Oreochromis niloticus: one gene and its partners. The protein of the gene in region 1 purifies or fractionates together with the protein of each later gene. This does not show direct contact. Links are inferred from orthologs where the notes say so. Each region holds a gene or a part of one and is shown in the gene's direction. Other genes may lie near its edges. The genes, in order: sf3a2, phf5a, snrpa and cherp.

Region 1 (7,132 bases):
CACATGAAGGAAACCAACAGAAACAGCAGAGCGCAGGTGAGAAAGTGAAAATAAGTCAGAGTGAAATATACAGTTAGGTCAATATGTTTTTGTAGTTTTGCTTCTATATACCACCACGGTTCATTCTACATCAAACTATTACAATATGACAGAAGTGCAGACTTTAGCTTTAACTCAATGTATTTAACAAAAGTGATGAACTGACTGTTTAGGTATTACAGCCATTTCTTACACAGTCAAACAACTGACTGCCAGTTTCATGACCAGGTGTGTCCTGTTTCCTTGTTCGATGACAAGATAAGCAGATAAAAAGTATGCAGTTGATTCCAGATGATGTTGATGAAGGCGCAGGAGGCCGAATAACCAAAATAAACCTAAATGAGAGACAACAACAACTGTAGGAACAGCCAAATGAGCAATCTGGTTCATTCTTAAAAAAAAGAAGAAATGCACTGGCCAGCTCAGCAACATCAAAAGGCCTTAAAGGCCACAGAAGACAACTAAAGTGCTTGACTGCAGAATTATTTGCATGGTTAGGAAAAACAACGCCAAAACATCCAACAACATCGAGCCAAGAACACTGTTGTGAAGGTAGCAAATCAACATAAGTCTAGAATGAAGAGACACCTTCATGAATGGAAATGCAGAGAGTTTACAACAAGGTGCAAACCACTGGTTACACTCAAGAAAAGGAAGGCCAGATTAGACTTTGTCAGAAAACATCTAAAAGAGTCTGCTCAGATCAAACCAAGATGAACTTGTACCAGGATGATGGAAGGAGAAAAGTACAGAGAAGGAAAGACACAGCTCATGATCGGAGGCATCACACATTATCTGTCATACATGGGCATTATATGGCTGCCAGTGGAACCGGATCACTAGTGTTTATTTTTCCTCCAAAGGGAGGAAGTATGTAATCGGTACCATTTGTCTGTCTGCTTGTTAGCAGTTTAGTGTCCACGGTTTTCATGATATAATTTTCACATTTGGTGTGATGGTAGATACCAATAACAGCTCGAGTTGATTTAATTTTAGTGAAAATTGTGTCAATGTTAAAGTCACACAGAATATGAAAAAAAAGCTGTAAACTTTATATCATCCACAATTTTTTTAATGGATTGTCTTTATCTTCATTACTAGCACCCAAGGTCAAAGTTGACCTTGAAAACCATTTTAAAGAAATCATATTGAGTAATATATCATATGAAAGCACATGGAGAGAGCGGTACAACACACTTTCAATTGTCTCAATACGACACCCAATGATGTCACAATGATGCCATTAACAGGTTGATGTCAGCATGTTGTAATAAAGACATCATAAAATATAACAGTTTTAGTACAGCCCTTGCTCTTCGGCGGGAGTTGCACTCTGTGTCTGCTGACAGAAATATGAGCAAAAGCAACTCAAGAGATTTTTAAGCCAAAGAAAGGAATCGTCTTCAACTGAAGTTGGTCACCTGATCTCAACCCAATAACACAAAACTAGTAACTGAAGGCGGCTGCAATAAAGACTGTTTTATAAAAATGGCTGTAACTCCTAAACAGGTAACGTGACATTGTTGTTATAGCCCCTGAATAAAAGCTGGGAGTCTGCGCTTCAAAGGCATGTTCATTGTTTGATATAAAAACCACTGGGGTTGTGTACAGAGGCAAAACTACCAAAAACAAATCGGTCACTTACAGACTTAGTCACTCCTAACTGTACCTCTAAAGGATGCTGTAGCTTACCAATAGAGAAAGTCTGGCTGTCCTCCCTTTCCACCCTACACTGCTCCAGCAGCAAAGCTCCAATTGGCTGCCAAATAAACACTCAGTTAATTTTGACCCCCCTTTTGAAACAAATGTATTCAATTTATCACAGAAAATGCTGTGACAACAAGCATACTGACCTCTTCCTCATCAGTCCGGAAATAAAAGAGGAAGTTGACGACGAGTTTCACTAGCCTCTTCTTTACAACTGCAAGGCCACAAAAGGGAAGTTAGACAGACAAACTCGTCTCTACAACAAACACAAAGCAGCCCAGCTGTCGCATGAAGTATACAGAGAGAGATATGTCTAATATCTGATGCTGACATTAGCTGCTGTGCCCAAATACACGAAACGGAAGTGCGTCTGAATGACTGTCCTTACCATCTCCTTTCTTGGGACCTCTCATCCCCAGTTCAGCTGCTCTCTCCGACGGCTGGCGGCTCAGTAACACCAGCTCCTTCTCGTTGAAACGCATCGCGGACACACACAAACACTCACAGGCTGGACAGACGGACACACGCAGGTACACGGATGCTAAAGAGGACCCGTACCCCCAGTCGAAAGCATAACACAGGAGTTAGCTAACGGTAGTACGGTGCAAGGACTATATTGTATACACCGCTGAGTCCACGTCGCTGCTTCGTTATCTAACGTCCCCGAAACCTGTCGGACTGCGTTTGATCATTTCTGTGGGTCAACTGAAAACAACAGCTCTGGACTTCATGCCACACTCACACACCTCTAGTAATGACACTCCTCTCTGCCGAGGTTGTCTTCTTCCTCTTCTTGGTCAGGCGCGTTACTGCCCTCTGCAGGTCAAAAATGGCTCCTTTGTTCTGTGCAAGAGTCAGCATTTAGATGTTTCTTATCCGGAAACAGAGGCCCCAGCTTCAGTCTGGTTAACCTAAACATTTTCCGTTTGGTTTGCACTAACTAGCGTACTAAGGTACACTCATAGGCCACTTTGTTCATTAAAGTAAATATGTAATCATGTAAGCATGTAGGCATGTTCAAGATCAACTGCAGAAGTTGAAACCGAGCATTAGAGTGGGGGAAAAGGCGATTTAATAGACTATGAATGTGGCATGGTCTAGGGCTGTGCGATATGACCAAAATCTCATATCCCGATATTAAGACATCTATCGTCCGATAACGATATAAATCACAAAAATGTAACATTTTCTGTAAATTCTGTGAATGTCGAGCAGCTCGACTTGCGTGAAATGTTTCCAGCTGGGCGTCGGGTACCTGGAGTCGAGTGTTTTAACTGATGCATGAAACGATACATTTTTAGACATAGGTTGTAATGGCCGCCGTTTTCTTTGTGAGTATTTATTACACAGCGTGCTGCGGGGAAAAGCCTGTTCTAACGTTTGAGTCTAAGGTTTATTTTTTAGCACCTGATGGCTCATTTTTGCTTCTCATCCGTAAATACTCTGCATCTTTCACGTGATTCAGTTTATTTTGAAAAGTCTCAACAGGATCTTGAGCTTTATTGTGAAAGGTTTATGTGGAAAATAAACAAGCGGACACGAGGTGGTTTTACCGTCGTTGTTGCTAACGACAAGCATAAAAACAAGCGCTTGTCCGTCTGTAGTGTGGTTATATTAAATATAAGAGAAAGAGAGAACTTTAGGAAATAAATATAGCCACTACAGTGACCATCAAAATAATGAAAAAATATTGCCGTAAACAGTTTATTTTGCGACACCATGAAACAAACGATAGCGTAAAATTAAACGATAGACGTTTTTATATCGTCATCCGATATATATCGTTATATCGAAGAGCCCTAGCATGGTCTATGGGGATTTTCCTGCCCAAGGATCTATAGCGTTTTACAGAGATTCGTCCAAAAAAAAAGAAGAAATCCAGTGGGCAGCAGTTCTCTGTAATATTCTTGATATTTATAATTGAACATGTGTCTATATTAGTGCTATTTCTTACATTTGTAAACTTTGTAATATATTGTATTATTTCATTACTTTAGTCTGTTACTGTTATTGGCTTGGAGCAACTGAAACCCACATAATTTTGTTAAGGATTATTAAAGTATTCTGATTCTGATTCTCTGCTGGTATTACAAATGTATTTGTAATGTCTTTCTAATACTAGAGGTCAGCGGAGAATGGCCCCTTAGCACCACAGCTTACCTGAAAACTAAACCGAAACTAACAAACTGTCAACTACAATGAAATAATTGTTTTTAAATGCAAAACTATAAAACTTATGTTTTAGAATTGTGTTTCTACTGAAAATGAATTAGGAAAAAAAGCCAGAATTTCTAAATGAACCACTGAGCAGTTTATCTTTTTAAATTAATTAATTTTTACCTCCTGTGTCTGCTGCTGTGAAACAATCAGAAATTTAAGAACAAGAAGTCCCCCCTCATAGGCCCAGCCGTCGTGTTGGCTGGAGATCCAGCCCAGCAGGTGGCAGTAACACACCAGAGGGTTTTTTACAAACCACCAAAACCCGGGAAAAAGAATCTACTGAAGCGCATGCGCAGAACAAATCAGGTGAGCGTGTCGCTGTCGTTGAGCTGGTGAGTGTTTTGATAAAGTAATCTGATTGTAGTCTCCTAAAATGTTTAATTTTGTGGCTAACGGATGTGGTGATTTTGCATTTTTAATATTCACTTTAATCATCTGTATTTGTTAAAAGCTTTTCATTATTAGTTGGCAGCACCATTAGCTTAGCATTAAAATTGCTAGCGCATTTAGCGGCTTTTGTATGCTAACATGCTACAGCTAGCTAGATGTTGTTGGGATCATTCGCAGAATGTATTTCTTTTGTAATAATGGGAAGAATTTTTTTTGTACGCTGGTAAATTGCCACAGATAACTTAACTTGGTCCTCTAAAATCCGCTGTTTGGGCCTTACTCCGCAGTGTTCATGTTGACTCTTTGTAAGGAAGTTAGCATTGGGAATCTTCGTATAGAGGGGATTGTAATGACGAGCTGCTTTTAAAACAGGTTGTATGACCCATGTAGGTTTGAGCAATAAAAATGTGTCCAGGTTAGAGCCTTAGCTAAAACACAAGTAATAATGCCAATCTACACATGATGCTGTTGTTGTGCTACAGCCCTGGAGTGCAGGGTTATTAATGTCGACCTTCACTGGCAGTACTTATTGTTTTATTTTTAACCAGGTAATCAGGGGAATCTATTTGGAGTAACTGTCCACATTCGTGTGACTGTTTGACTCCAAAACCTTACAAAAATGGATTTCCAGCATCGAGCTGGAGGGAAGACGGGGAGCGGAGGGGTGGCGTCTGCCTCTGAGAGTAACCGTGACAGGCGAGAACGGTTACGTCAGTTGGCCTTGGAGACCATTGATATCAACAAAGACCCCTACTTTATGAAGAACCATTTAGGATCATACGAGTGCAAACTTTGTCTGACACTTCACAACAATGAGGTGAGGGACACCTAATGAGACATTTCTCTGTTCACTGAATTTGTTTTTATTTCTTGTCATCTGGGTGTCTTATTTGAAAAGAAAAATCAAAAATGTCTCTCTGTATTTCAGGGAAGCTACTTGGCTCACACACAAGGAAAGAAACACCAGACCAATCTGTAAGTCCATAAGTTATCTGTGCTACAACACAGAAGTGCAAGAGCTGTTACTTTATGTTCTGATTTAATTAAAGTTGCTGGAAACTGTTTACATACATTTTTCAGAGCACGGAGGGCAGCCAAAGAAGCAAAAGAAGCTCCTGCTCAACCAGCTCCAGCCAAAGTGAAAGTTGAGGTCAAGAAATTTGTCAAAATTGGTCGACCAGGATACAAAGGTAGGCAAGCTCTGGCATTTTATATGGCAGTCACAGTTTGGTTTTTAATACTAGTTTCTCTACAAAATACATTGTCAAAAAAATTAATCTTTTTTTTTTAATTTTTATTAATTATTCACAGTGACCAAACAGAGGGATCCAGAGACGGGACAGCAATCTTTACTTTTCCAGGTTTGTATATTTTGAAAGAATGCATATAATCCAGTACCCTTTTGAAGCCGGGTAAATAAGTTATTATTTGTGTGCTTCAAACCAAAGCAAAATGCACACTTATTCTTTGGATAATCTGGTGAGTTCTGCATAAATGTGGCAAACTCAATCTTGTTAGTCAGTTGGCGAAAGGAGCTTTACACTGAAACTGGGTCACAGGAACAAATCATAACCTCATGCTCTAACCTGCAAAGTTTCGTACCACAACAGTAAAGGCCATGTGTTACTGACCTTCTTTTCTTGGCCCATCAGATTGACTATCCAGAGATCGCTGAAGGAATTGGACCCAGGCATCGCTTCATGTCCGCTTACGAACAGCGCATTGAGCCTCCCGATCGTCGCTGGCAGTACCTGCTTTTTGCTGCTGAACCATATGAGACCATTGCTTTCAAGGTGAGACCTGCACTTTTCTCTTCCCCTTATGTTTTTTTTCTTTGTCATTTTTCCTTCACTCCTGTAATAACAAGATGTTTGCTGTTTTAGGTACCCAGCAGAGAAATTGATAAAGCAGAAAACCGCTTCTGGACCCACTGGAACAAAGAAACTAAACAGGTACCAGCTATGTTACAGAGTGCCTGCCAGTAGAGTTATTAGGTCCAGTTGCCAGAACCAATGGGAGGGGTGAAGCAAAGTGGGCACACTGTGTGTCAAAAACAGAAAAGCAGAGGTGTAGATTTAGCTGCTTTTTTTGTGTAGAAAAACTCTGTCTGATAAGATGCGCACCTTGGGGAATTTTTCCCCGTCTTTCCGTATGAGAAGACAATAATGTATCACAGAGTGAGAGAGAGCTCTGAATCATTGTTTACCTCATTTACATGCAACCTAATCTAATTAGTAAACACATGTGGGTGAATGTCAGCCCGTGGGTGAATGAAGGTAAAATGGTCTCTTGAACTTGTTTATAGTTCTAACTTTTTCAAGCTGTTATGCACAAATAGCAGTTGATAGGAACAGTGAGTCAATAAAGTGAACTTAATATTTGTTCTATATGTTTATTTCTTCATCTTAAAGATCCTTGTAAAAAGTTTCTGTGATATACAAGTTTAAACTAGTGGAACTTGTATATTAGTTTTCCAAAAATGTCTTTAATTGTTCTTTTTTTGTTTTTCTATCCAGTTTTTCCTACAGTTCCACTTCAAAATGGAGAAACCTGTTACCCAGTCGAGCGGTCCAGCACCTGCTGCCACTGTGAAGCGTCCTCCTCCCCTTATGAGTGGAGATCACCCATCAAACGAGTCTCTGCCCCCTCCGCCTCCAGGGGGAATGCCCGTCCCTCCTCTCCCGCCTGGTGGCCCAGGAGCCCCTCAGATGCCCCCACAGATGCCCATGCCCCCCATGCCAATGAGGCCACCCCCTCCAGAGGGCCTTACATTAGC
Region 2 (6,896 bases), on another chromosome or scaffold:
AGTCACTATAGTCGTGATTTATTAAGCCTGAGTCAAACTAGCTAGATGCGTTCAGAGCAGTCGGGACACGATGACCTGGACAACTAAGCAGTGCTAGTGTCTCAGCTTATCTCTCCACTTTAGCCTCTCTCGGTGCTTTATCTGGGTCAGCACAGCATTCAGTCAGATTTATTAAATCTCATACGGAGGGTGGCATCCGCCTCGGCTGGACAAATGCGATGAAATTAGTCAATTTGTCTCTTACCTGGAGCCGAGCGACCGTGAGACAGTAAGTTGCCATTTTGTTCACTGACAAAGATGTGAGGGTCGGTGATGACGTAACACAATTGTAAGGCGGCCTTCTTCTTCTTCTTCTTCTTTGGGGTTTAACGGCAGCTGTGACATGAAGCGTGCTGCCGCTTAGTGGAGAAAAAAAAAACAAACGCTCCTTCATAGTCTGCTTTATGTCCTCCCAAAGTTTTTCAATTATTATTTTTTTATTAATTTTTTTTAACAACACCACTCCCACAGGGCTTCTTTTTTTGTGGGGAAAATTTTTAATTAATTAAAATACAAACCAAAACTGAAAAAGTAAAACTGTCTGAAAGGATTTTGTGAGCTTGGAAAACTAAAATAAAAAGAAAACTGATGAAATTGCCCTAATTTTAGCATTTGTTAGTCAAATTAAAAATGAATTAAATTATCGCAGCTTGCCTGATGAGGTTTTGATGGACATGTTTATTTGGGACTTTGAATGTGTACATGAGTACGCTGGAAGCTCTAGTGAGCTCATTCGGCCAGCTAAGGACCGCTGACGGCTCTGAATCCTATCTGCCACCTCCTGCATTGCCTGCAGTGCCTTCGTCAGGGGCTTCCACTCCATCACCTGCAGCGCCACCACCCGCAGCTGCCACGCTGCCGCCTGGTTCCGCAGCTGCCACGCTGCCGCCTGGTTCCGCAGCTGCCACGCCTGGTTCCGCAGCTGCCACGCTGCCGCCTGGTTCCGCAGCTGCCACGCCTGGTTCCGCAGCTGCCACGCTGCCGCCTGGTTCCGCAGCTGCCACGCTGCCACCTGGTTACGCAGCTGCCACGCTGCCGCGCCTGGTTCCGCAGCTGCCATGCTGCCGCACCTGGTCCTGCCTCTGCCGTGCCTGGTCCGACCTTGCCTGGTCCTGCGGATGCTACACCACCGTCTGATCCAGCTCTCCCTGGATCACCTCACCTCTGCCAGCCACTTTCCAGGCCTCTAGCTGGACGTCATCACCGTCAAGGGCGGCCCCTGAACGAGGTCGCCGCCGCCGCCACTGTCTCCCGCGCGGTCGGCCTCCGGACCTGCTCTGTCGCCACCGCCACTGCGTCCTGCGCGGTCAGCCTCTGGACCTGCTCTGTCGCCGCCGCCACTGCCTCCTGCTCTGTCGCCGCCGCCGCCACTGCCTCCCGCGCGGTCGGCCTCCGGACCTGCTCTGTCGCCGCCGCCGCCACTGCCTCCCGCGCGGTCGGCCTCCAGACCTGCTCTGTCGCCGCCGCCGCCACTGCCTCCCGCGCAGTCGGCCTCCGGACCTGCTCTGTCGCTACCGCCACTGCGTCCCGCGCGGTCAGCCTCTGGACCTGCTCTGTCGCCGCTGCCACTGCCTCCTGCTCTGTCGCTGCCGCCATTGCCTCCCGCGCGGTTGGCCTCCAGACCTGCTCTGTCGCCGCCGCCACTGCCTCCCGCGCGGTCGGCCTCTGGACCTGCCTCGTCGCCGCCGCAGCCTTCCCCGCGGTTGGCCTCCGGACCTGCTCTGTCGCCGCCGCCACTGCCTCCCGCGCGGTCGGCCTCCGGACCTGCTCTGTCGCCGCCGCCGCCACTGCCTCCCGCGTAGTCGGCCTCCGGACCTGCTCTGTCGCTGCCGCCACTGCCTCCCGCGCGGTCGGCCTCCGGACCTGCTCTTTGGCTCATGCTCCTGTTTAGAATTCCTCTTCCAGTGTTTCAGTCCTTAGTTCATCTGTCCAAAGTTTTGTTTTGTTTTTCCCAGCAATAAAGCTGCGCTTTGAGTTTAAAGTTCCGTCTCCAAGAGTCCTGCATTTTGGGTCCTTTTTCCTGCCTGCCTGCCTGCCACACAGCCAACCATGACACTAATTGTACTGTCATAAACTTTAACATGCTAGCTGAAGCCCGTATAGTCTGAGTGTCAAAATTCGTCTGTGTGCCAGGCAGGATGTGGACACAAACGCACAACTTGAGACAGAACATCAGCTCAAAGGACAGCTTTAATGCTCAACTTTCAGAAAGACAAAAAACAAGGAGTTCATCAGGAGCAAACAATAACAAAAACTAGAAATCTCAGGGAAACGTGAAATAAGGAAAAACACAACCATCCAGGGAGGGCATGACAAAGGGGAGACTGACACAATATAAACACATCAGGTAACAGGAAACACAACTGCATCTAATGAGGAAAAGAAGACAGGGAAGGTAAAACGAAATACCAAACGCACAAGACAAAGGTTGCCAAAATGAAACAGGAAATAACTAAAATCGGGTAACATCACAGGCAGAGGCTTGACAACACACAGGGAACAGCGGGGCCCGTGGTAAACTGAAGTAACAGTAACTGAAACAAAAGCACAAAGCAGGAAAAACAACGACTGAGAAACAACCTGACGATGACGAAACAGAGAACATCCTTCTGAATTCACATGACTGCTTCAGTAAGGGTGAACTTTCTTTTTCCCCTGACTGCATATTAGATCATGGACTCATACCTATTGATTCATTCACATGTAAACCACTTTACTGTTGCAGCTAGCGATTATTTGAATAACTGAATTGAACTGGTCAAATTGCCCCCAATTTTCTATGTTATGATCCGGAGCAAGGACTCGGGTGGTGCTGCCGAGCTCAGCAGCTGGGCAAGAAGGTGGACAGCGGATGGCATAAGCTGGCTTGTGACAGGACTGAAATGTCAACTCAGGTAGAGGATGAGGATGATAAGGTAGGTAGGAAAGGACGAGGACGAGGTAGTAAGTGGGGAGAGGATGAAAATTTGGTTGGAATGCCAAATTAGAAACGGGCGATAGCAGAAGTTCAGATGAAGGGAGTGCTGTAGTTCGGAAGACGATAGTAAGAGAGGAATTCAAAATAATACTGAAGTTTAGGAAGGAGGATGAGAACATGCAGTTAAGTCCAAGTGCAGTATCGAGGGAACTGAAAAAGAAGATAGGGGATGTCCAACAAGCAAGAATCCTAAGAGACAGGAACTTGTTGATAGCACGTAAGAGGGAGGAGGAAAAAAATAATAATGCGTATTGAGAACATATGTATAAAGATGTAGTAGAAAGGATGCCTGAAGGAGAGAATAAAACAACAAGAGGGTCATAACAGGGATTCCGGTGGATGAGAATCCTGAAAAACTAAAACGGAGCATTCAAGGTCTGGAAGTGAGTCGAGTTAAAAGACTATTAAGAACAGTCAATGGGGAAAGAGTTGATAGCTTGTCAGTGATGTTTAAGTTTCAAGGTCCTACCCTTCCAGAAAAAGTCAAAATAGGATGCATGTGTTTTACAGATAGGCCATATATCCCTCCCTCTCTAGATGCTACAAAGGTCAGAGATATGGGCATATAGCAGCAGTATGCAGAGGACAGCAAGGTGTCCCTAGGTGTGGGGACAACCATAGGTATGACATAGTTGGTCAGTAGCCAATGGTCTGCTATTAATCACTGCCATGACTTCATACAGGAATGTCCTTAGAGAGGAGCTGTCAAGTTGTTTGGCTCATTGTTCAAGAACTGATGTGAGTACACTTTGCGAATGCGAATTTGTCTTTCCCAGACACCACTCATATGACTACGTGCTGGGGTGTTGATGAGAAACTCGCGGTCCAGTTTTCAAAGTTTTGCTTGATGTATTTCTTTAAATTCTTCAGTAAATCATTGCTTGTGCCGACATAGTTTGTGCCTTGATTGCATCTTATCCGGAGAACTGTACCTCTGATGGCTATGAATGCACGTAAGGAGTTGATGAAGGAATCTGGAGAGAAATCGTCAAGCATCTCGAGATGCACTGCTCTGGAGCACATGCAGGTGATTAGCAAGCCATAACGCTTTAAGGCAGTGTTGGAAAATAATGGTTGCCACACAAAATATTGATATTTTGGGGACAGTTTGGACATTTTCACCTAGGTGTGTACTCACTTTTGTTGCCAGCAGTTCAGATGTTAATGGCTGTATGTTGAGTTATTTTGAGGTGACAGCAAATTTACACTGTTATACAAGCTGTACACTGACTACTTCACATTGCATCAGTGTGTCATATCTTCAATTTTTTCCCATGAAAAGATCACCCCACAATGGAAACAATTAAACCTTGTTGGCAGAAGGAGGTAAAGGAGTCAAAGAGCTTTGGATGGACAGCAACCTGGAAAACAATAGAAATCCAAATAGATCAAATTAATATTAGGCTGCTAAAGGAGATCAAGTTTAAATATCAGTATTAGCAACGCTGAAATGAAGAGCACAATAAAACAGATAATGTGGGAAATAGGGCAAAAAGCTGTGGGAGGAGGAGAGGACAGGGAGATGGTTTTATTCTATTCAAAGGAAAACAAGAAACATGAGAAGCACAGGGAGGACCAGGAGAGAGGAGACAATAATATCTTGATTCAGATCTGGCCACACTGGATTAAACAGTACGCTATTCATTATAGGGCAACATCAAACAGGGAAATGTAATCGCCGTGGAATAAATTAAACCAAAATCAAAATTACAGGAAGAAAGAACACAACTGATTCAAAATCTGGGGGGATTAAGCTAGATATAAAGGATTTATTGCAAAGGAATTCTAGATGTGAAAGTTTTATGGCTTTATTTCAGTTTCTAAAACAAACTCATTTGTGTGAAAGGATATGAGGACATATATATATCCTGTAGTATTTATTTATTGTATTTATTTTCCGATTATTTGATATGAGCGAATTCCGGTCCACACTTGTGGACAGTTGGTGGCGGTAATGTACCACATCGTTGTTTGCCAACCGCCAAAAACGACAAAGAAGAAGAAAAACCAGCTGCAGCAGCAGAAGAAGAAGAAAAAGAAAGAGAAGCGCTTTACTTACGTAAACCTAAGATGGCTAAACATCATCCAGATTTGATCTTCTGTCGAAAACAAGCTGGTGTTGGTAAGTTTGGACTCATTTTACGTTTCAGTATTCGGCACAGTGGATTTTGCTGCAGCCGGAAGTCCCTTGTTGTTGTTTCGTAGGTCATAGCGTTAGCATCCATGCTAACATGGCGTGGATTTCATTGAAAATGTGTTAGCCTGGAAGTGTTTGCAGGTCTGTGGGCTCTGGTGGCTAGAAGGGTATCGTAACTAGAAGAAAGTGGGGTTTGTTTTTTGTGTGAATTCCTGTCACATTGACTCACTTTGTTTTGTTTCTATCCCGCAGCTATCGGGAGACTCTGTGAGAAATGTAAGTGTTTTTATCTGTGAGTAATATCTGGAACAACAAGCGGCATGTGTTTTAAACTAGTGTTAAGGTCTGTTTATGTCATATTTTTGTTTCATTTATTTAACTACAAGTTTAATCAGCTAATTTTATTTTTATAACCACGTTCATAACAATCAGGATTTAATCTGTGTGTGTTTTTAATTTATTACACCAGTAATATTTACTTACCCTGTGTTTCTTTCAAATCTCTAAAACTACAGACTTTTAAATCCCTGCTTTTGAAAATAAGCCAGAGTATAGATGTTAATCTCTAGTTTTAATCATTAATTTTATTGCTGTTGTTTTATTTGTACACTCTACAGTCAACATAGTCACTATATCTGTAAATTGTTATTGTTATTGTCTATTTAGTCCAAAAGAAAACAAAATACACAAACAACTCTAAACTCAAATTCCTCCAGTATAAGTTTAAACCTTTCTTCTTCCTCTCTTCTCTGTCCAGGTGATGGAAAGTGTGTCATCTGTGATTCCTACGTGAGACCGTGCACACTGGTGCGTATTTGCGATGAGTGTAACTACGGCTCCTATCAGGGGCGCTGCGTCATATGTGGAGGGCCTGGTGTGTCTGACGCCTACTACTGCAAAGAATGCACCATCCAGGAGAAAGATGTGAGTTTCCCGCTCCTCTCTTCACTTTGACACTGGATACTGAAGCAGCAAAATATCCAAGAGACTTGTTCTTTAAGATAAAAAATTTCTTTCTCTCTCTCCAGCGAGATGGATGTCCTAAGATTGTAAACCTGGGCAGCTCCAAAACAGATCTGTTCTATGAACGAAAGAAGTACGGCTTCAAGAAGAGGTGAACACGACCACGACGACCCAGTGCAACGTTTAGTCTTTCAGATTTTCTTTAAAACTCACAAAAAAACCTTTGTTTGATTTGTCAATAAAACTCAATTTTATACTTTTTTTCTATGACTGCTTTGTTGGTGTTCAAGATTTTTAAATAATCAGTGAACACGTCATAAAAATGGGGAAATGAAGAGGTGTCACTGGAAAGGATTTTTTTTAAATTAAAGCTCACTAAACAACTCTGAGCTTTTGATTCCATTTTGATGTGAAGTCTGTCTTGTTACTTGTTGAGGTTTTTCCTCTTAACAAAATCTGCTCAGGACGTTTTCCCTCTTAACATCAGCAGTGAGTCAGTGGCAGTGTTTGCTAAATCTCAGTGTCTTCGTTCTCTTCTCTTCTCTTAGCTTCTTCTTCCAGCTGGCAATGCATGATGCTTTTTATACACAAAGACCTGAGCTGTTACCATTAATGGTATAAATACTCCCACTTTCTGTGGACTGCTGAACACAGGGGCAAGAGCCAAAATGAAATAACATTTTCAGTGTAAAAAATGTCAGGATCTGTTTTTAGTAATGATTTAAAAAGGTACAGATGGGTGGCGAGTAAAAGAAACCCCCTTTAACCCTTGACCTCTTT
Region 3 (7,685 bases), on another chromosome or scaffold:
TTGCTTCACAGCAACCCTTTCCCCATGGTTTGGTCCAGGATACGGGATGAGAACAGGCTGTCTCCCCCACAGGTGTGAGATGATGGCTGCAGCATTATTACCACTCAGACCCCCCGAAAGGAGCTCGGCCTTGCAGCCACACACCTCTTCTGCCAGCAGGGCCATATTGTCAGCTGACAAAATAAAAAAGATTAATGAGAACATAAAGAAACCAAAATTCACCAGCTTGAAACTGAATGTTTACGTGCTTGTGGAACATTAAATTAAATATCAGCTGCAAAATGTGTCATAAAAGGTCCAAATGTTTAATCACAGCCCCCACCTGTTTCTTTTGTGCTATTTTTTTGCCCCCAATTACAAAAAGACCTGAAGAGTTTAAACATTTTTATTTTATACCCGAGAACATTTCACCCTGAGCCGTGTATCCCCTGCTCAGAGCTGTCTGAACCACCGTCTCCATGTCAACACTCAGCTGTGGCTGCCGTAGGTGAGCAGCCATCCACAAAGCCACCAGACCACACCTACAAGGTTACCAGAAATAACACACTGAACAAATACGTCACCCACTCACGTGAAAGGATTCAGGTAAACCAAATAACTCAGTACTAAAAACAATAAAATACTATAGCAGTTAAAAATTGTTGTGGAAACAGGCGTGCTATGCAACATACTTCTTAGCCAAAAATAGATTGAGGTGTTGAGTGACAGGTATTACAGTGACGCTTCACTTTAATGACTTACTGTGGACCATCTTGAATGAGTGAAGGCACGTAAGTGTTCACCAGAATCCACTGAAGGTCCTTCCTGAAACTGAAGAACAAACAAATGGCACTGCATAACATGAAGGCATGGAGTTTGTTAACCGTTTATCTGATGCACTTACACAAATGCAGAAATTTGTACAAAAGAAAAAGTTTTTTTCTCAGCCATGAATCAATTCTAAGCATCAGTGCCATGGGCTGTGTCCTATTATCTGCATCAAAACTGTAGCAGTTTACAGCATGTGAGTGTTTGCTATCCCCAACTGTTTCTACTCCCTGCTTTCTGATTTTTTTTATACTCACATGTTAATCAACTGGCTGATAACTATATTGGCTGCCACAGTTTCAGGATACTTTGAGGAGTGAAATGCCAGCATTATAAAAAGCTTCTTTCACAGAACTATCATATACAGTACTGTGCAAAAGTCTTGAGCCACCCTGGCTGCTTTTCATTCAATTCAATTGAATTCAGTTTTATTTATACATCGCCAAATCACAACAACAGTCACGTCAAGGTGCTTTATATTGTAAGGTAGACCCTACAATAATACATACAGAGTAAAACCCAACAATCATACGACCCCCTATGAGCAGGCATTTTGGCAACAGTGGGAAGGAAAAAGTCCCTTTTAACAGGAAGAAACCTCCAGCAGAACCAGGCTCAGGAAAGAGCCGCCATCTGCCGCGACTGGTTGGGGTGAGGGGAGGAAGACAGGACAAAAGACATGCCGTGGAATAGAGCCAGAGATAATTAATAAGTAATGATTCAATGCAGTGAGGTCTATTAACACATAGTGAGTGAGAAAGGTGACTAAAGAAGTACTTAGTGCATCATGGGAATCCCCCAGCAGCCTACACCTATTGCAGCACATAGTTAGTGCTGGATCAGGGTCACCTTTATTCCACTGACAGTGCGTTTGGAATCATTGTCATGCTGAAAAGGAATCTGATGCCAATCAGATGCTTTCCAGATGGGACTGACGGTGGATCAAAATGTGATGGTACTTCTCTGCATTTATAATTCAATCTCATGTAATTCGGTATACGTCAGCTGCTTGTTTTCCTTCCTTAAGGACAGCTTTTTGAAAGCCACCCTTTCAGTGAGACCATTTCTGATGAGGCTTCAGTGAACAGTAGATGGATAAAGTGAAAGGCCAGATCCATCTGATACTGGTTCCAGTCTTTACTGGATTTTTTCCTTTTTTTACAAGGACATTGCTTTCAGATATTTTTCATCTGCTAAAGTTTTTAGGCCTTTCACTTCTTTTGTCCTCTATTTTGCAGTTCTCTCAAATATTTAAGAGCACACTACACACCAAGCAAAAATACTATTTTATGTCTGCCAAACTGTATTGTCTGACACTTTTTCATAGATTCAACTAAAGAAATGGGAACAAATTATGTGTTTATATAACAGGCTGGTAGTAACAAAGTGCCCATAGATACAATTTAAAGTAAGTACTTTTCCAATTTGTCTGTAATGTGACTCACACTGACAACGGTTTGAGTTAGGTTCCCTTTTTATGCCATGATTCATAGGTCAGTATTAAGTTGCACAAAAAAGATTATTCCTCTGAATAAAAGTCAAATGGGAGGACTGGACTGAGAATGAGTGGAAAAAGCAGCCAGTGTCCAAAGAAAAACTTTTCAAAGACCTTCAGAAAGTCTGAAGAAGTATTGTTTAAGACCACTTTTTAAAAAATGACAAAAAGGTCTCACTCTTGGCTCAGGACTTTTGCCCTAAACTGGACATTCAGTTTTATTGACTCCGTGTCAGAGATATCTTCAGGCAACTCTCTGTTCTTGGGGTTAAAATACAATATAATAATATCACAATACAATAGGATAATGCAACTTTGTAGCAAAGTTGTAGTAGTACTCAATACAAAACAACATAACCATCAGAGAAACACACTCTTTGTATACAGTCCATTGTGGTGTCTGTGTGTGTACTATTTTTAAACATTTTAATTAAATTAACAAATCTCTCACTTTACTGCTGTCCTTCATTCTCCCTGTGAGATTCATGTTCTTCACTGCAAGCTAGTTAAGGTCTCTCTTTACTTTACTGTAATTCATAATTAGAGCCATTTGTGTATATTAGAGTTATTTGTTATATTTTGTAACTTTGTAGCATTATTTCATTTAGTTTAGCTAGTTACTGTTCTTACTGTCTTGGAGCAGCTGTGATCACATAATTACCTGTGTGATTAATAAAGTATCCTGATTCTGACTGTGGGATACTTATCGACTCATAAGTTCATCCGTTCAGACATCTGACCAGAATGCCTCCAGGACACTACAGGAGAGGTGTTTTGGGCCGGCCCAGGACACACTGAAGAGATTATATCTCTGAGATGTTCCTGAGCAAACCCAGTGTCCCCTCAGGAGAGACGGAGGAAGATGAGATGGAGGTCTGCTTCCCCCACCACCCACATAAGTGGCAGAAAATAGATGCATATATTGCTCTGTCAATACTTTATCTCACTGCTCACTGGTTCTGGATTATATAACTGTACATTCGGAGATGTGTCCTGATCCGTGGGTTTTGTTATGTTTTAGGTTTTCTGGACTTTAGATTTCTTTTCACTGTTATTCCTTAAGGTTCTTATTTTTTAAGCTTGTTACTTTAATTCTGGTTTATATTGGTTATTAATAGGTAACTCTTTGTTTAGCCTAGCCTCCCCAAGTGTCTTCTTGTATCTTGTAGTTAAGTTGTTGTCTCTGTGTTAGGTGTCCCTCTGTTACATTACTCACTTGGTGAATCCTTCCCTCTTATGTTTGGTTTTTAGTTCCTGTGTCTTTGATTAGTTAAACCGCGTGGTTGTGTTGTTTGTCCCTAAAAACATTAGATCAGTTATCACAGTCATGGCTGATTATGCTGCACATGGATTTTCAATCAATAACCTCTATGGTTGTGTTGGCAAATGAAACATTTGAACTGCACAAGGGATCTGCTTGATCAACTTGAGCATGACTGTGTGTGACAAATGTCTGCCAAGCATGTGAGCACTTAAAAATAAAATTCATGTGCAGATTTAGCAATTTTCCACACAAAGCGAAAACATCCATGATAAAACCTGACCTGGTCTCCCTCTGACTGATCAGCAAGCAAGCCTCTGTGTGATCTCCCTCTACAGCACTCCTACTGCTGGCTATAGTCTGATACAGCTTCTTCTTTGGTGCTGACGTTTGAGGTGGTGTACGTGGAGCAGGTGGAGGCGGTGGAGGTGGCAGGGAGCATTCCACTGACATCTTCTCCTATCCTGAGGAATTGTAGACTGAGAAAGTAGAAATCAGGGGCAAGCTACAGCAAGCCAATATAAACAGTGTAATTACAGAACCTGCAACTACCTGCCCAACTTCCACTTCTTCTTATAATAAGCTAATAACTAAACCTGTCAACATACAGGACCAAATGACGAACGTTATTCGATGTTGGAAACTATTTTAGTGCAAACTGGTGTGCAGAAATTATATAAAAGCACTTCGTTTCTGGTCTTTCGCACACTTACCCCACACCCACTTGTCTAACTAGCAAAGCCAGCTAACAACACCCGGCTTGTCCCCAAATTTGGCAGTACTACTCTCGCGCTGCGTCTTCTTCTTCTTCTTTGTGTAGTCACACCTCAGGAACGTAGAAACATACCGCCCTCCAGTGCATCTAAATTATCTCAATACCGACTGCAAAATTAATACATATGACTCTAACTGCTAGTTAAATATGAAGCTAAAGATAAATTATAAGAATTAAAAAAAAAAAAAACTGCTGGCGCTAAGCTAACCCGGACAAAAATATGAGTTACACCATAATCTGAACTCTGAGAAGAATTGTATCAGAATGTCTGCCCCTATGTTATATTTTTATCCAAAACTGTGACACAAAATATTATGTTGCCACAATGATTGGAAACAGCTACAACAGGGAAAAATAATAATAAATTGGGACACGGATGTTAAACATCGGAAGTTACGCTTGCATTGTTATCGCGAGAACAGAAAACGGGATTTGTGAAGACCGGGGTTTTCATTCATCAGGTAAGAACGTCGAGCTAAAGACTTGAATCGTTTATTTTCTTACGTAGAAACACTTCTTCAGCGCTTTCATGTGCTTAAATAATGCATTTGAGCTCTTTGTGACGATCTTAAGTATTTGGGTGACTAGTATATACATGTAAAACACCAAACATTGTGCTAATTTGTAGTAGATAGCTTGCAGGCTAACCCTCCCCGTCACGTTTGGTGAGTGTTTGCTAACGATCGCTAGCTAGTTAGCTGCTTAGCATGTAATCTAAACTGCGCCTCAGACTGTCTCTAAAAGTAGAAACGTTCATCAAACGCTCATCAGCAGATTAAAGGATGGCCACTCCAGAGGTCCGGCTCAATCATACTATCTACATCAACAACCTGAATGAGAAGATCAAGAAAGATGGTGAGGTTTGCACGTTGAAATCGCTTTCCGTTTAAATATGCACAACCAGACTAATCCTTTTATTTATTTATTTGTTTGTTTATTTTTTAATTTACTGTAGAGCTGAAAAAGTCGCTGTACGCCATCTTCTCACAGTTCGGACAGATTTTGGATATCCTGGTGGCACGAAACATTAAGATGAAGGGTCAGGCCTTTGTTATCTTCAAAGAGATTAACAGCGCCTCCAATGCGCTGAGATCAATGCAGGGCTTCCCCTTCTATGATAAACCAATGGTAGGGTAACTAAACACTGAATATCACACAGCTGCTGCTTAGCATAGTTTGTGTGTCACACGTGGTCTTTCTGTTTGGTCCTGCAGCGCATACAGTATGCAAAGACTGACTCTGACATCATAGCTAAAATGAAGGGGACTTACGTGGAGCGTGACCGCAAAAAAGAGAAGAAGAAGATCAAAGGACCTGATGCCACTGGACCAAAGAAGGGTGTAGCAGGAGCTGGTGCAGCCATGGTCGCTGGCGTGCCTGCTGCCATGCCTGTAAGTGGAACCAGAGCTGTGTTATTGGTTATTTTGGCAACTGTCATGTATTCACAAGGGAGCTCTGAGCCAAAGTGTGGGCAGAGACACAAAGTATACAAACCCTGAGATTTCTAACTTTAATATGTTGGAAAATTCTTGTTTATTTTGTTCTATAGCTTAGATGTTTTATAGTAGATTCTTACTGTTTCCTGGATCACAGAATACCCTAAAAGAAAGGCCACAGTTTGTCAGGTGTGTTTCTGAGACATTAATGAGCAACATGGGGGCTCCACAGGGGACTGTCCTGGGTCTATTGCTTTCTACATTGCATACAGCAGACTTCGATATATAGATACAGAAAATCATTCTCTACAAATGGCAGATGAGCTATGTCAAACGTATGAATTTCCCTTTGTTATCAATAAAGTTGTTCTTATCTTATGGCTGAAACATGTTTTCAGCTCAATTTGCAGAGCAAAAAACATTAAACTGAATTGGGATTAACCCTTTAAGAACAATATTAATAAATAAGGAAACAAAAACAAAGGGAGAAAGTTTCTCCTGCATCTAGAACAGTTTGTGTGATTGAAAACTGACAAATGTAAATAGTAGCACACACAATGAAAGATAACCTCAGAAGAGGAAAATGGACATTGAGTTTAACAAGCTCTTCACTCTTTAGGGAATGCCTCCAATGAGCCAGGCTCCCCGTATGATGCACATGCCTGGCCAGCCACCTTACATGCCCCCTCCAGGCATGATGCCACCTCCAGGGATGGCGCCTGGCCAGATGCCCCCTGGTGCCATTCCTCCTGGTCAGATGATGCCTGGACAGATGCCTGGACAAATGCCCCAGCAGGTAGTGTTTTGTGACAGAGCATGTTGTGTCTTCATTGAATTTAATAAATTGATATTTTTCTGGTTGATTGATTCTGATGTCCAATGTGTACTCGTAGGTTGCAGAAAATCCCCCCAATCACATCCTCTTCCTCACCAACCTGCCAGAGGAGACAAACGAGCTCATGCTGTCCATGCTCTTCAACCAGTCAGTAGCAACCCATTCTCTAGATCTAGTTTTGCAGGCTTGTCTGTTAAAGGCTGAGCCTAACTGTTGGTGTGTGTGTTTTAGGTTCCCAGGATTCAAGGAGGTGCGTTTGGTCCCTGGACGCCACGACATCGCATTTGTGGAGTTTGAGAACGAGGTGCAGGCCGGAGCTGCACGAGACGCACTACAAGGCTTCAAGATCACGCAGACGAATGCAATGAAGATTTCATTCGCTAAGAAATAAGCTCTCAGGAACGGTGGTCTTTTTTTCCCCAACATATAAACAGGTCTTTGTTTTTTAAACTTGCAGTAAATCTGACTGTGATGCATTCTTAGAAATTGACTTTCAGGGTTGCACGTAAGTATGTGTCAAGCTGCTGTTTTTTTTTATCGTGCCACATTGACAGAACTCTTTAAAAATAAAGGACAAACATATGTGAGTTTTGTATCCTATTGATAGTAAACTCACATATGTAGAAGTTTTTTTTTGTTTGGTTTTTTTGTTTTTGTTTTTTAGCTTTACATCCAAATCCACAAGCAGCTTGATATGTTTTCTACATTTGTCATAAAGCATTGCACCCAGAGTCTGGTTTACCAGACATTGTACCTGGAGCTTTTCTTTCTTTTTATAAATAAAATTGTGTTCTAAGAATGTGCTGCTCTTCATTTAAGCTGCAGTTTGAGCTTTCTGCCAATAGGTGACGCTTTCTCTTCTCTTGTGTTAAACATTTGCTCTCAAAGACAGAGTCCCTGTAGTCAAAAGGATCTCATCTTTAAACAACTTCAGCTGCACAACATGTAGAAGGAGAAACCAGCGTTGAGAAAACCCTTTTCTTTCAGGATGCTAATGCCATGTGCTGCAGTCTGAAGTTAGACCACATCTGCAGAAAATTTAGTTCTTTGGAGTCTGATTATTACAAAGCATGGAG
Region 4 (7,101 bases), on another chromosome or scaffold:
GGGACAATTCTGGCAAAGTGTAGCCTTTTCGCAAGGCACCTAGTGCTCCTTACAAAGACCACTAAAGCATCTTAATGTGGGGGCAGTATATTTGGCTACTCATTTTGGTTTTTGTTGTTTTGGCAGTCCATGCTATCATACAGATGCCGTGATTGGTACTCCAGTGGATTGAATTCCAGCTCCACTGTCTGCATCAATGGTCCTTGTGGTGCTCTAGAGACCAGAGCGAGCTAGGGAGAGGATTGCATCCCTCAAACCAGAACCTGCAGTACATGAAACTGGTCTACATGTCACTACTCCATCTCCACAAGGCTGCAGTGCAAAAAAAAAAAAAGACTTTGTAACCAGCCCAAAATGGCAAAGCTTCAGACTCATTTGACAAGCAGCTGCTTATACTGCTTTTTGTCACAAAGTACTTAGCAAAGGTAAGATTTGTGGAGGAGCAACTAAATTATTTAATTGTTTAATTATACCACCTTACCTAAATGACCGTTAAGAAAAAAAATTGATGACAAGGGAGTAGTTCATTTTCTACTACTCTAGGTATTTTACACAGTGCACGTGTGTCTGTATTGCATGTGTGTTGTAAAAATACAAAAAGCAGATTAATTGGGAACTTCTGTATTTAGTGCAGCAACAAATGAACACCTGGACACGCACCATCTGTGCAGAGCACAGAGCTTACATAAAACATACTGTGTCAAAATACTTGTGTTTGGTAGTACACCGACTCCTCATCCCCATCAAGCACGCTTACCTGCTTCATGCCTAACCATTGGCTCCTGCTGTTTATCTTTGAGAACAGCAGTCAAAGTAGGAATGGCCCGTTTGTCCTGCATCTGTCCCAGGCAGTAAGCCAACTCATGCTTCAGCAGGGCTGATTCATCAGCGAAGGCTTTGCTGATCCATTCTATAGCTTCAGCACCTGACACACACAGATGACAGCTTGAATTAGTTCACCCAAAAGTCACTACCGGCATTCAGTCACACCAAATATATTGCAACAATATGCAACAGCTGTGCTGTGATTTCAGTTTGCATTAAAAAAAAGATCTTTCAGAGAAAAAGAAACAACTGAATGTCTTGTCTTTCAGACAGTACAGTGCTGCTTTCTGTGATTAAGCCAACCATACGAAGAGGAAAAGACTGGTGGCTGCAAGCGCGAGGGCAAGACGTTATTGCAAAGTTTAGAGATTTAAAGATTACTTTTTTTCCTGTGAGTTTTGTTGGAAAACATAGGGGCTACTAAAATATGCTGAAAGGACAGAAACAACCACAACTACATTTGAAAAAAAAAAAAAAGAAGAAGAAGAAACTGAATGTGTGGGGTGATTCCCACCCCTACAAACCAATGTTGGAGTCCTACATACTACTGCAAATCTTGAGCACTGGGCACATGGACTGCCGCTATTTTGTTACTTAGCTGAGTGCTTTTGTCATTTGTCCAGTTTTTGAAAATAAAAAATAAAACTATGTGGTCCTGGTGTTTTACCTCCCAGGTTCCTCAGGGTAAATAAAGCTCTGAACCGCTTGGTCAGGTCCTGTCTCGGGTCCACCAGCTCCTGTCCTATTGATCCAATCTTCTCGACAGTAGCCATGCTGCTGGAAAGAGAGCAAGACACTTATGAATCTTGGACCTGTAAACTTAGAGCAACGTGAAAGCTTTTTTTTCCTCACTCATAGTTTAGTGGAGAAAATTATATATATTCAAGTCTTAATTTATCTTATTTATACTAAAAATCTATAACTGCTAGGTGAAAACAAAACGTTTATATCAGGGGTCCCCAATCCCAGTCCACGGGGGCCGGTGTCCTGCAGGTTTTAGATGCGTCCTTGATCCATCACAGCTGATTTAAATGGATAAATTACCTTCTCAACCCCTGGTTTATATAGACTATAACCGAGCCATATGAGGATTTTGACTAAATACCTGGAGTCCAGGCCAATATTAAAACCAGCTACGGAGGGTATAGTATTTAGATGTAGTTTCTGTCGACGGCCTGCAGCTAGCTCTGTACTTTACATGATGTATTATTGATCTTTTTCACGCTTCTCTCCTTCCTGGTGAACACCGCTGTCACTTCACTACATTCCGGTGTCTTGCGCCTGCGTCGGGAGCACGCGCTGAGCACACCGGCTTCCACAAATAAACCATCGCCTATCATTGGCTGAACTCTTTCACAACAACATCACACGGTATCCACTAACGCCACCACACAACGGCGCCCAGTGTAAACGTTGTCTAAACGTACCAAGCTTCAGTATGTACAGTATTTCACACACCTCCGTCACGGTCCCCACAGCACAATCCACGGACAGTCGCAGGAAGTTGTTGTGTCCTTCTTCTTTTTGTTATTTGTGCAGGTGGTTGGAAAACTACGAAATTGTGTTTTGCCGCCACCAACTGGTATGGAGTGTAGACTGAAATGTGGCTCAAAAAACAAAAAAAACAGGGCTATTTATGAACATAAACCACACACCTTTAAAATATTTGGAATGGAGGTAGCAATAGAAAAAAAATCAAATAATGTTATGTGTAACTTTTTTCTTTAGTTGGACAGATAAAATAAAAAAGAAACTCATGCTATACAAGTGCAGCACAATTTACAGACAGTTGTACTGTGTATTACTACTGTGCTGACTGAGAGGTGATGTCCTTCAAGTAAAAAAGAGTGCTTCTTCACCTCAGTGTTCTAGTGGGGGTTATTGGGGGGCTATTTTCCTTGAAAATTTCACCTGATAGTCAAGGAATTTAAATAAAATAGAGTAAATTTATAATTAGTCAGTTTGCTGATAAAATGCCTTTGTTGTTGTATTTTTCATTTTTTTTGTAAAAGAACTTGTGATCTCTAAAGGAACAAAATTAATTTTTCTCAAAAGCATCTGGTCTGATTGTAAATGTTCTGATATGTCAGATTTTAGCAATTTGCAATCTTGATTTAAATTTTTACATCGCGGTAAAACGAGAGGTGAAATACTTTAATAAAGTATAAAGTATATCATAATAATAAAATGATCTGTTGTTGAAAGGAACATTTGAATACCACTCCTAAATTTCTTATTAAAGCGATTTGAAATTGAGGTTGACTCATGTAATTTTTGTACTTCTGAATGTGAAACTGGTGATCATTTCTATTTTAAATTCTCCTCATGTGAGTTTATTTTGGTCAGACATTTACAGTTGACTTTATCTGAAAATAGTCAACATTTCCATGCTTACTTATTGTTTCTTTTGGGGTTGAACAACAAAATTTCTGATACTGTTAATCTAATTATTATTCTGGGTAAATACCATTTTAATTCTTAAAATCATCAATTAATGTAATCTGACTAACTGCATGTCTTTGGACTGTGGGGGGAAGCTGGAGAACCAGAGGAGAATATTCAAACTCCACACAGAAAGGCCCTAGCCAGATTGTGGATGTGAACCCAGGACCTTTTTGCTGTGACACAATAGTGCTAAACACTGTGTTGCTAAGCTCAAAATATGTATATGTAGATCCTTGCTCCTTTGACCCATCGAGCCTTGCTTTTATAAACCCCTTTTGTTTGTTCATTTTTTCTGGTGTTCTGTTTTTCTTTTCCCTTTTTTAATTTCTGCCATTTGGGCATTGGACCTTAGATGGTTAGGAAAAACTGTTGACTGATGCTTTTGAACCCCGTCTTTTGCTGATCATACAACAAACAAACAAAAAGATAGCTCTGCACTGCCAAGTGGGTCATTTGAAATGACCAACTGGATAGCACAGCATTCCCATTGGACTGGGTGCTGGATCCAGCTGGATAAGTGTCTTGTTTGGTCTATCTGTCCAAAAGGTTTGCCTCCTATATTGACCAGGAAGAGAAACTACGGGGTTTCAACCATGTTTTCTAGGATAGGATTTTGTAAGCATATATAATAAAGATCAGGACTAAAGATATTTTAAAATGTTGTATTTTTTTAATATATATTTTACTTATAGTTAAATAAAAATATTTTCATTTTTGGACGTTTACTCGCCGCTGCAACCATCAATCCACCCAAACGAGCAAGGCGCGAACACTCCTCCCAGTCGCAAGGGGCGCTGGAGACAATTCCATAGCCATCTTTTGTGGCGCTGTTTCTGTATCGCATTTCCTGTGCGTAGCAGCGGCAATGCAAGTGATTTTGGGGGAATTTGATATATCTTTTTCTGAAAAAGTAAAGAATTTGGCGGAGTTTTTACATACATATTCTGGCTAAGTGGTTCGCTGGAACAGAAATTAAACATGGATATCCCCAGTCCTCCCGAAGGTGAGCCGTACACCACAGCTATTTTAAATTTCGATTCAACGTAAGCGAGCACCCATGCTATCTGCTACATAGCTAACAAAACCATTGGATTTAGCATGTTGATTAAGGTCACCGATCAGAAGTGGATGAATGTTTAACCGGGCTCTGTGTGTAATCATTGCACCAACTAACGTGAAAAATGGTGTAGAAATAATCCAGTAATAGAGAGTAAACGTTAGTTGTTCTAACTTTTCACGGCTGCTGGCTTTTAAGAAAAAGAACCCCCATAGAAAGAAGATCCCTTATAGATATTTTTGTGCTACAGCAGCACGATTAAGAGTAAAATTAAAGCCAACTGATTTAATAATACTATGTAGGAATATAGAAATAATTCATGCTTACGCAACCTCATTTCTAGATATTTCTGTTTCAGAAGAAATTCATTATTTTCTAAATCTGTTTTATTTGATTTTTTTAAAAGAACTTCAGTCACTATTATTTCTGTCTATTTCAGTGTCTCTGTTCTGTGGTTTTTACAACAACATTTTTCACTGTATTTATGTCTGTTTTTTTTGTACAGATCAGGAGCTTCGAAATGTGATTGATAAGCTGGCCCAGTTTGTTGCCCGAAATGGCCCAGAGTTTGAGAAGATGACGATGGAAAAACAGAAGGACAACCATAAGTTCTCCTTCCTTTTTGGGGGCGAATACTTCAGCTACTACAAGTACAAACTTGCTATGGAACAACAGCAACGTATGTAGTTAAACTGACACATCACAATAAAAACAGAATTTTCACATAGAGGTCAATTTAGTATTGGAATATTAAGTTCATTTGATGTTCAGTACTTTGGATTTCTTACTATAATAGAAATATTCAAACTAAAAAAAATGTAATAAAAAACAGTTTTTACAGATAAAAGCGGAAAAAAACCCCCAACCCAGTACATGCACCAGATATGTTGGCAGAATTATTTACTTTTCTGTTTTGGGGTGAAACTGTTAATTGAACAGTCCAGCATTGTATTGGTAATGTGAATCTGTTTTTGGCATGGATTTTTTTCCTTTTGATTAAAGGCTTTCAGACTGCCTTTATATCATCACCTGGCAGCAGTAGTCCTTCTGCTCGCAGCCTTCGTCAGCTGCAGAGTCAGTTCTCTAGCTCACAGAAAATCTCCCCAAAAGCAGAACAAGGATATCAGTCAGTAAATGCACTAAAGACAGTGGACTTGGAATCTCACTACAGGATAAAAGGTGTCCAAATGACACTTTGGTCTGGCTTAATAGCAACCGGGCAAATCTGTGGAAGGAACTGTTGCAGCTAAATTTGAAAATACAAATCTTTAAATTTAGAATCTCTTCAATAATCAAAGACACGTTGGTGGTGTCCAAAGAATCATTTTCATATCCGACATTTGGGTAGGAGGATTAGCAGATGAAGCACTGTTTTGTAGTATCTTACAGTGCGCTGTCTACACATACAGTTTTTCCGGCAGTCTTCAAGGAGACATCAGTGAATTATAATGTAAATAGCTAAGTGGGCATTGTAGCAAGTTTGCCACTACAGGAACCCCTCTATATGTACCTTGCATACAGTTTCTTTGTTCGGTGTTTCTCTCTTTATTTACGCACATACAACGAGTTTCAAAATTCTGTCACTCTCCATGCTTTTAGGAGGTTGAGGTGGTATACTTGTGTGGCACCAATCCTGTGTCCACCCCACTTCACAATCTATGTCCCCCACTCGCCACATGGCCATAAAGGGTCCTTGCTAGTTGGCGAGTAATTTTGAATTGCAAATGGGAAGAAATACGTGTATTTTACCTCCCAGTTTGAGCTGTCTGAGTCTAGTGCCTCTGTTGTACAGGTGCTGCTAACATTCCTTTTATCACTCAGCCGTAAAAGGCTGATGGGGTTTCTTGTCACCCTGTTAAGGTCAGAGGTCAAATCTTCTGAAAATCTTGTGAATGCGATACCGCAAGAGGGAAGTCACCTAGGATTTTCAAATTGATACCACAGGTGCATCTAGTAAAAATGAATGCCATAACTTGAGAACAAGATGACATAGGATTTTGAAACTGATACCACAGGTATGTCTGTTAGAACTGATTCAAGTTTGGTGTTTTTGTTATTGTTGTGTAGGACAACAAAATAACAACATTTTGGCAACCCCTGAACATGCAAAATATTCAAAAAAATGTGCAAAATGGCAAATATTTAAAAGTACACATGAAGAATAAAAAAATAAATAGAATAAAAGAATACAAAATACGTACAAGGTCATAAAACGTATGTGCAAAGATAAGAACATTATGAAAATTTAGTAATGACTTTACAAGTTGTATGTGCAAGTTTCACAGTATAGCAAATGTAGTGCTATTACACAGAAGTTGTAATAGGAAGGCTAGCAATCATGTGTGGACTGTGTGTATGTGTGTAGCAGCATTTGAGTATAGTTGATGTACATAGGATCAAGTTCTGTTCTTCTTGACTGTCTGAAATCCACCACAATCTCCTTGGCTTTGCTGCTGTGTAGTATGAGTTTGTTGATGGGGCACCAGGCGATTAGGCTCTACACTTTTTCTCTATCTGCAGTCTTGTTGTTAATGGAGATCAGGCCAGTGACTGTGTGTCGTCCGCAAACTTGATGATGGTGTTTGTTGTGTTTGAAGGTTGACAGTCATGGTTGAACAGGTCTTACAGAACAGGGCTCAGCTCACATCCCTTTGGTACATTGAGGATGGAGGATGCGCGTTTGCCCATCCTGACAGTCTGGGGATAGTTGGTTAAGAAATACAGGGTCCACCTAAAGATGGTCGGGCTGAGACGGTTTGGGAGTTTGGACACCA

Evidence for each region.
Region 2: the proteins of sf3a2 (region 1) and phf5a purify together in Homo sapiens (affinity purification with mass spectrometry; 5 studies listed by BioGRID and IntAct, with this or other methods). This does not show direct contact. The link is inferred for Oreochromis niloticus from reciprocal best matches to the Homo sapiens genes SF3A2 and PHF5A.
Region 3: the proteins of sf3a2 (region 1) and snrpa fractionate together in Homo sapiens (co-fractionation; 3 studies listed by BioGRID and IntAct, with this or other methods). This does not show direct contact. The link is inferred for Oreochromis niloticus from reciprocal best matches to the Homo sapiens genes SF3A2 and SNRPA.
Region 4: the proteins of sf3a2 (region 1) and cherp purify together in Homo sapiens (affinity purification with mass spectrometry; 3 studies listed by BioGRID, with this or other methods). This does not show direct contact. The link is inferred for Oreochromis niloticus from reciprocal best matches to the Homo sapiens genes SF3A2 and CHERP.

What each region holds. Positions count from the first base shown.
Region 1 is NC_031982.2:13,069,716-13,076,847, reverse strand, and holds the start of sf3a2 (splicing factor 3A subunit 2), read left to right. Parts: upstream 1-4,130; 5' UTR 4,131-4,272; exon of another isoform or gene 4,273-4,298; intron 4,299-4,904; 5' UTR 4,905-4,975; coding exon 4,976-5,173; intron 5,174-5,284; coding exon 5,285-5,331; intron 5,332-5,436; coding exon 5,437-5,546; intron 5,547-5,667; coding exon 5,668-5,717; intron 5,718-6,008; coding exon 6,009-6,149; intron 6,150-6,239; coding exon 6,240-6,308; intron 6,309-6,872; coding exon 6,873-7,132. Other genes in the region: plekhj1 (pleckstrin homology domain-containing family J member 1), read right to left, coding at 1,732-1,798, 1,893-1,960, 2,135-2,287, 2,493-2,607. UniProt on the Homo sapiens protein: Component of the 17S U2 SnRNP complex of the spliceosome, a large ribonucleoprotein complex that removes introns from transcribed pre-mRNAs.
Region 2 is NC_031973.2:22,533,150-22,540,045, reverse strand, and holds phf5a (PHD finger-like domain-containing protein 5A), read left to right. Parts: upstream 1-4,981; 5' UTR 4,982-5,086; coding exon 5,087-5,138; intron 5,139-5,405; coding exon 5,406-5,429; intron 5,430-5,910; coding exon 5,911-6,077; intron 6,078-6,181; coding exon 6,182-6,271; 3' UTR 6,272-6,377; downstream 6,378-6,896. Other genes in the region: aco2 (aconitate hydratase, mitochondrial), read right to left, coding at 245-280.
Region 3 is NC_031979.2:23,337,280-23,344,964, forward strand, and holds snrpa (U1 small nuclear ribonucleoprotein A), read left to right. Parts: upstream 1-4,680; 5' UTR 4,681-4,799; intron 4,800-4,805; exon of another isoform or gene 4,806-5,003; intron 5,004-5,109; 5' UTR 5,110-5,120; coding exon 5,121-5,193; intron 5,194-5,293; coding exon 5,294-5,466; intron 5,467-5,552; coding exon 5,553-5,729; intron 5,730-6,393; coding exon 6,394-6,570; intron 6,571-6,667; coding exon 6,668-6,756; intron 6,757-6,840; coding exon 6,841-7,000; 3' UTR 7,001-7,408; downstream 7,409-7,685. Other genes in the region: actmap (actin maturation protease), read right to left, coding at 44-173, 397-521, 742-810, 3,847-4,016. UniProt on the Homo sapiens protein: Component of the spliceosomal U1 snRNP, which is essential for recognition of the pre-mRNA 5' splice-site and the subsequent assembly of the spliceosome. U1 snRNP is the first snRNP to interact with pre-mRNA.
Region 4 is NC_031981.2:23,794,676-23,801,776, reverse strand, and holds the start of cherp (calcium homeostasis endoplasmic reticulum protein), read left to right. Parts: upstream 1-4,097; 5' UTR 4,098-4,248; coding exon 4,249-4,273; intron 4,274-4,832; coding exon 4,833-5,006; intron 5,007-7,101. Other genes in the region: dohh (deoxyhypusine hydroxylase), read right to left, coding at 758-925, 1,493-1,598. UniProt on the Homo sapiens protein: Involved in calcium homeostasis, growth and proliferation.